Sus scrofa: one gene and its partner. The protein of the gene in region 2 purifies or fractionates together with the protein of the main gene of each other region. This does not show direct contact. Links are inferred from orthologs where the notes say so. Each region holds a gene or a part of one and is shown on either strand. Other genes may lie near its edges.

What was found. The genes of interacting proteins can lie anywhere in the genome.
Region 1: the proteins of BHLHE40 (region 2) and BTRC purify together in Homo sapiens (affinity purification with mass spectrometry; 3 studies listed by BioGRID and IntAct, counting the BioPlex papers as one, with this or other methods). This does not show direct contact. The link is inferred for Sus scrofa from reciprocal best matches to the Homo sapiens genes BHLHE40 and BTRC.

What each region holds. Positions count from the first base shown.
Region 1 is NC_010456.5:112,562,629-112,566,276, forward strand, and holds part of BTRC (F-box/WD repeat-containing protein 1A), read left to right. Parts: intron 1-628; coding exon 629-725; intron 726-1,432; coding exon 1,433-1,570; intron 1,571-2,037; coding exon 2,038-2,156; intron 2,157-3,648. UniProt on the Homo sapiens protein: Substrate recognition component of a SCF (SKP1-CUL1-F-box protein) E3 ubiquitin-protein ligase complex which mediates the ubiquitination and subsequent proteasomal degradation of target proteins. Recognizes and binds to phosphorylated target proteins.
Region 2 is NC_010455.5:61,526,727-61,530,474, forward strand, and holds the start of BHLHE40 (class E basic helix-loop-helix protein 40), read left to right. Parts: upstream 1-1,285; 5' UTR 1,286-1,551; coding exon 1,552-1,631; exon of another isoform or gene 1,632-1,791; intron 1,792-1,797; coding exon 1,798-1,867; intron 1,868-1,937; exon of another isoform or gene 1,938-2,112; intron 2,113-2,118; coding exon 2,119-2,226; intron 2,227-3,160; coding exon 3,161-3,284; intron 3,285-3,748. UniProt on the Homo sapiens protein: Transcriptional repressor involved in the regulation of the circadian rhythm by negatively regulating the activity of the clock genes and clock-controlled genes.

The sequences.
Region 1 (3,648 bases), on a different chromosome or scaffold from region 2:
TTTTTTTTTATCTGCTTTCCTACTTGCCACTGGCCTCTCCTGTGATCCCTTTGTTTTCTGTCAAAATTGCTCCTTTTAAAGCATAGCTACACTGATCAGCAGCCCGGGTGCCTGAACTGCCAACACACTTTACCCTACATAAACAAAGACTAGAAAATGTGATCTTTGTGGCAGAGGCATTCCTGCTGCCCATGATGCTGGCTCCAACTGACACTGGCACAGCTTTACTCAGTGGAAAAAAGGCTGTGGGGCATGTTCCTAGTTCAAAGATGGTAGTATCATCACTAACAAAATTTTCAAAGATAAGGCCAATTACAGAGATCTTATTAGACCAGTAGGTGAATTCTGACCATAAGCATTCCATTTGTCTATTGACATAATGTTTCCGAAGACCTGACACTCTGATGTTCCGCATTGGAAATCATCATGTTTTATCCAAAAACAAATCATTTGAGCCCAGAGAGTTCCTCCTGATGTGGGACTCCTGACATCAAGCTTAACTTCATACCTCTCTGGAGATTATAACTACAGATTATATGGAATGGTAACTGTGAAAACACTTTAAAGAAATATGAAGTTCCTTGTAAATGTATAATATGATTTTTATTGGGAAATATTTGTTTTTTAGGGGACAGTATTTATTCAAAAACAAACCTCCTGATGGGAATGCTCCTCCCAACTCTTTTTATAGAGCACTTTATCCTAAAATTATACAAGACATTGAGGTAAGAATATATGTATATTTGGGCATTTGCCAAATACTAGAGAATCATCAACATTCTTCAGTAACAGCAGTGTTATAGCAAACCCATTAAGGTTTATTGATGTGGGTTAAAAATCAGTTTCTTCACAAGTGAATAGGGAAGATAAAATATAGTAAATTGCCAAGCAAAATTTTAAAGCTTTTAAGTTATTCACTGATAAATACATGAAAGAGAGTATGATAATAGCTTTAAAACTGTTGAAGTTGCACTTATAAGCTGTCATTCAAATATCTTCTGAATTGAGCCTCTGTGGAAGCTCACTGGTAGAAATGGCTACCACAAATGTAAGATGAGCACTGAGCAGGTAACCTCATATGAGTCATAGCAAGTGGCAAAATATTTTACAACTTTAAATAGTGGCTTTTTAAAAATATCTTTAGGGAGTTCTCTTGCGGTGCAGCAGGTTAAGGATCTGGTGTTGTCATTGCAGTGGCTTGGGTCACTGCTGTGGCTCAGGTTCGATCCCTAGCCCAGGAACTGCCACATGCCGTGGGCATGGCCAAAGATTTTTAAAAATAAGAAAGTTTTTACATTTTTAGTATGTGTTAAGTTCTGTGTATCCAGTAGAGTAGAGCACTGAGCATTTGTCATAGGTTGCCATGAAATTCAGATGAGAGTTTAGTTCCCTAAAACTAATTACAGCTTCTTTACCCATTCCTTCCTCTCAGACGATAGAATCTAATTGGCGATGTGGAAGACATAGCTTACAGAGAATCCACTGCCGAAGTGAAACGAGCAAAGGAGTCTACTGTTTACAGTATGATGATCAGAAGATAGTAAGTGGCCTTCGAGACAACACAATCAAGGTGAGGTCTCTTCAGTTATGGGAAGGTGGCTGAAGGGGTGAGGGGGACTACAATCCCTAAAGCAATCCAAAGCATAAACTCTAAGCAGTATTTCCAGAAAGTAAGTGAGAGTCCCAAAGCCAAAAATCGTTTCCTTTAAGGAAAAGTACCTGCTTACCCACAGAAACACATGCAAATGGGTAGTGCTAAGGTTAAATTCTCTTCTTGAAGTGCCCTGAATGGGCTATTAGTCTTTTGGCCCTCACATAATTATAGGCTACCCCTGTTTCCTTAATGAAAAGGATCAAGTCTGCATTAGTACTGAAGCCACATATATATAGGTGCTTCGCTATACCTATAGAGAAGAATGCATTCCACACTACTCTGGGCTTTGATTCTTTTGGGGACTCAAACACAAAATAGAGCCAGCAAGTCTCTGCAGCACCCCATTATCATAGTGATCAAAAGGATCTTGTTTGCCATCCTAGATCTGGGATAAAAGCACATTGGAATGCAAGCGAATTCTCACAGGCCACACAGGTTCTGTCCTGTGTCTCCAGTATGATGAGAGGGTGATCATAACTGGATCGTCGGATTCCACAGTCAGGTAGAAAATTTCAATAATCTTTAGAACTCTGAAATGTCAGGTGTACTCTATTCTGTCTTAGTAATTTTGTATATATGTGCATGAACATAGTTCGAAAACTTTATAACTAAAGAATAAACCATCAGCTCCCTCCATAGTTGTGTTAATCTAGAACTAGAAAACTTGATTTAGGAATGGTTATGATAAGTTTACATTTCTGCACATTTAAGAAACTATATATTCTGTTTTAATTTGGGGGAATCATCTCTTATAGAAACGTGGTAAACCTTGCATTTCTTACAAAAACCACCTCACAGGGGAATGACATGAGTGGAATGGAGCCTTCCTTTCAGGTGGTTATAGCTATAGTGCAGGCACGCATTATCTCCTTTAAAATGTGTACAGGTGAGCAGTACTCTCTCTTTGCCAGCCCCTCCCCTGCTGTCCCTGCAGTTTTTAATTGCAGGCTTCACTCAGGGAGGGGGCTTCAATTTCCAGAGGCATTAGTAATTTGATGACACAGCCATTATGCTGCTGGAGTCCAGTGTAGCTTGAGTTCTGGGTACCAGCAGCACTGCTGGAAACCTCTGTTAGGAATTTTGCCTTGAGCTAAAGGGTTTAGCAAACATAATGCATCAAAAGTAACTTTAAAAAAATAGAAAAAAAAAAAAAAAGCAGTTAACTGCATTGTTAGATTCTCTGAAGTTAAAAGTTTACCTTCCAAGTTATCCTCTGTAAATAGAAAAGGCCATTTCTTTTTCTTGTCTTTTGACTTAAAGGCATAGCAGACTCAGTTCTTAGAGTTATCAACATTTAACATTTATTGATGCTTATGGAGTGCCTCAAGGAAGCTGAAAGTTAATAGAAGCTAACATCATTTCTAGGATAAGGGAAAAAATGATTTCCTGAAAGAGGGGGTTAAACTGGAAAAAGAAATAAAATGTGTTAGTAAAACCAAAGTAAACGTACAGAAGTAGAGTGGTCAAAGCAAAATATATCCTCACACAGCAGTCTCAAGCTATTCAAGGGTCCTGCCCTCTGCTGCGAAACCTATATATATATTGGGGTGGCCATTCTTGATACCTACCCTCATTTAAGACACAGAAATGGGGCCTTAGATTTAGGGTCTAGGTAATCTTAGGCCTTGACCTGTGTGGTAAAAACCAAGATCCAGAGTCGTCAAGCTCAGATCCATAGTACTGAGTCATCTGTTAGAGAAGTTTCTTGGCCTCTATCTGTTCTAAGACCTGAGGGCTGCCTCTTGGGACCACCAGTGCTGCAGTTATTAATTAAATATATCAGATTGTGGAGTTCCCTCATGGCCTATTGGTTAAGGATTCGGCATTGTCATTGCTGTGGCTCAGATTCGATCCCTGGCCTGGGAACTTCTTCATGCCATGGGTGCAGGCAAAAATACATATATGCGTGTATTTCTTAAATTTTAAATTTTTCTAACAGATTGAGTGTCAGAAGCTTTATAGTCATCTCGAAGTCTGGGGCCAATTAGCTGGTG
Region 2 (3,748 bases):
CCCTTTCCTCCATCTCCGGGTGAGGATCCCACACGGCACCGCCGAAGTTCCCGGAGGGAGGGAGACGGCAGACTCCGGCGGGCCACACCGGCCCGGGGCTCTCCGTCCCCCGGTCTGGGCAGAGGGGCTCGAAGTCGGGGACGCTGCGGCCCGAGCTCCGGCCACGTGAAGTGTCACGCCCCGCGCTGCTGCAGGGCAGGCGCCGCCGCCACGGTTGTGTAACGTTGCAGCCCGAGGGGAGGCGACCCGAGCGCCTCCGCTCCGGTGGGGGCAGAGAAGGGAGGGAACGCAGGGCTCCGCGCCGGGTATCTTTCTGTGCTTGACTAGTCCAAGGCGCGCGGGGGGGGGGTACTCTGGAGCACCCTGGGGGGTGGGCAAGTGGGTGCCCGCCAGCGCTCAGGCTGTGCCCGGGAGCGGAACTCCGGGGGAGCCAGGGGCCCGCCGCACGCAGCCTCTCGGATCAGGTGCGCAGAGCGTGCTCGGCGGCGGCCTCGGCTGCCCCTGCGCTTGGCTGCCAGCCCGCTTCCCATGGGGTGACATCCGCCCCGCCCCTCGGCCCCTCCCCACGTCGGGCGATTCCTGGACTCTGGGCTGGAGGGTGGGGGCAGGGAAGCCGGCACCGAAAGAAACCCCAGCCCCTGGGGAAGGCAGGGGGGCCGGGCGACTCCCTCGGCTGAGCGCTGGTTCCTCCGAGCGGACCGCGCGGGGGGAGGAGGAAACGGGTTGGGCTGGAGCGAGCGAGGGGATATTCCTCTCCCGGCTTGAGTCAGAGGCGGGCGGATCCGTCCTCCCCCTTCCCTCCCAGGAGACGGGAACTTACTTCATTTCCCTGGGGCAGGTTCGCCCACGTTACCAACCTCCCCTCCCTGCCCCCCCCCCCCGGCTCCCCGGGCCCTTCCAGCTTCCGCGCCCCCCACCCGGCTGGGCAGGACCCAGGCCGCGCTGCCACCCCCTCTTCGGGGAAAGGCAGCCGCAGACACCTGGGGGCCGGAGCTGGGGGTGGGGGCTCCCTCGCAGCCGCGGGAGCGTTGTCCAACACGTGAGACTCATGTGATGAAGCCGGGGGAGGGCGGGCAGGTCGCTCCTTCCCTCCCCGGCAGCGGCCAGACGTGCCTGGAGTCACAGGGTAGAACACGTAGCTCCAACCCACCCACTCGCTCCCATTTAACCCAGCCCGCAGCCTCTCCATTACTCCTCGGCTCGTTCTCCCCCCACCCCCCCACTCCACCCTAACCGCCCCCCCCCCGCTCCCTCCCGCCTCCCCGCCCGCCCCACTTCTCATTCACTTGGCTCGCACAGCGCAGACGGCGCAGGGAGCACACATCGCCAGTCTGTGCGCAGAGCCTGAGCCAGAAGCCGCGGGGACACCATGCACGCCCCCAACTGAAGCAACACCTCAAAGCCGAAGCTCCGGGCAGCCGGAGGATTTCAGGGAGCTCAGACTCAGAGGAACTCCTGAGGAGAGACCCCTCGAAACCTCTCCAGGACAGTCCTCACCGGACTCTCTGCCACTGCAGACAGGAGCGCACAGTGGCCCCGGCTCGCCGCGCCATGGAGCGGATACCCAGCGCGCAGCCGCCCCCCGCTTGCCTGCCCAAAGCACCAGGACTGGAGCCTGGAGACCTACCAGGGTAAGTTGACACCCCCGGCCCCTTCAAGCCTCAACTCCAGTCCTGCGTTCTGAGCGACTTTCAACTCGGAATCGCTCTGGGCGCATATGCGGGTTCATGCCCGCCAGGGTTCCTGCAGCGGGTGCGCAGGCAAAGTCACGACCCTTCTTCGTCCCTCTCCCTGCAGGATGGATTTTGCCCACATGTATCAAGTGTACAAGTCGAGGCGGGGAATAAAGCGGAGCGAGGACAGCAAGGTAAGGGCCCCGGACCCCTGGGGACCCCAGCCCCTAGCACGCACTGAGTTCCCAAGAAAACTTTTCTCACTTTGAGGTTGGAGGGGGTATGCAAGGTGCGGGGTCCGTGCCTGGATGGCTTGGAGAAGAAGGTAGTTCTGGGTGTGACTCTGTTCATTTGCCCCTACTCTTCTCGCGCCGCGGGGTAAGGGAGGAAAAGGGCTTCTCATCCTCCTCCTCCGGAGCCCACCATTTCCCCGTGCGCCTTGCAGGAGACTTACAAACTGCCGCACCGGCTCATCGAGAAAAAGAGACGTGACCGGATTAACGAGTGCATCGCCCAGCTGAAGGATCTCCTCCCCGAACATCTCAAACTTACAGTAAGTGAGAAGCTGGCCCTTCTCCAAACCAGCTCCTTTGCCCAGAGGGCGGTCGGGGGTCACTCGCCGCCTGCAGGTCCCGCCGGGAACTGCAGGCCAGACGGCTGGATTCGAGCTGCTGGGTGGCTATTTGGGGTACACTTCCCCAGTCCTCAGAATTTTCTGGCAGCCTCATGCAAATAAGGTGAAAACCGTTTGTATTTCTCCAGTTGGCACCAACACCGGCTGGCCTTCCTTTGCAAGAGTTTAAGGCTCACCGTTCTGGTGATTTTCAAGGTTCTCTTGATTTCCTAACTTGAGCAAACCAAGCAACCTGCAATTTTTCTTAACCTCTTTCCTCCCCATCTCTTTTTAAAATGAGAGGACTTGTTTGGGTGTGTGATTTTTTTTTTTTTTTAAACATCCTGTCCTTTCTTGGCAATGGTCAACAGCTTACTAGCTTGACAGCCTTTGGTTGGGGAAAGGGAAAAAAAAAGAAGTATTTAGGGGGAAGAAAAAACTTAGATGAACTGGAAGTTATGACAGGGTGTCAGGAAAGAAACTAGGGAAAGCCTCTTGGCTGCCAGACACAGTAGAAGTCCTTCCTCGGGTTGACACCACTGCAGAGAAATGTAATCTTCGGATTCCCCTGAGTTAAGGTCAGCAGAGGCTGCTGGAAAAATTTATCTGTCAGAGCTTTCTCCTGAGGTAGCTGCTGCTTCCAAAATGCCTCCAAAGATGGGTGACACTCATTTGTTGTTTTTTAACTAGTTTTTTTTTAATAATTATATATATATATATTTTAAACATCTATAAACTTAAAATGAAATTTAGCCAACCAGGAAAGGTTGTTTTTGTTTTTTTTTCCCTTTAGAGACATCTCTCATTGCTAATAAGGGTCCCAGAGGTGGGACTTCTCTGAGCTCCCTGCTGACTGAGGCTCTTTTTATTCCAGACTTTGGGTCACTTGGAAAAAGCAGTGGTTCTTGAACTTACCTTGAAGCATGTGAAAGCACTAACGAACCTAATTGATCAGCAACAACAGAAAATCATTGCCCTGCAGAGCGGTTTGCAAGCTGGTGAGTTCCTGAGCCTGGCTATCTCCTAAGAGTTCTAGCACAAATGGAGAGCCTGTGGGCTCAACATCTGACATAAGAAACATTCCTGCAACAAACTGCTTATGCACATTCACTGGGGAAGATGCTGTTTTATCTTTCCTAAAAGGTCAGACTTTTCATTTGGGAGGCTGCTATGTGCCACCTGGCATGAATACGTATTAGTCAAACGGTAAAATATTTCTGTGGCATTTTGGCTTAAAGAGTTTCTAGGTTCTGGGAGTTTTCCCCCCCTTCCTTTCAAAATGCCAAGGCACCTATAATTTGCATCGTGGGTGTTTTACAGTTAGTCTTCTTAGCCCTGTTTCATTGGAGAATAAAATCATGGGTATGCCCCAGTGTTTTCCTGTGTCTCTACTTCCTTATCACATGGTGTGTGGTATGATCCTGGCAGGATGACAGCAGGAGTTTTTCCTGCATTTCATGTG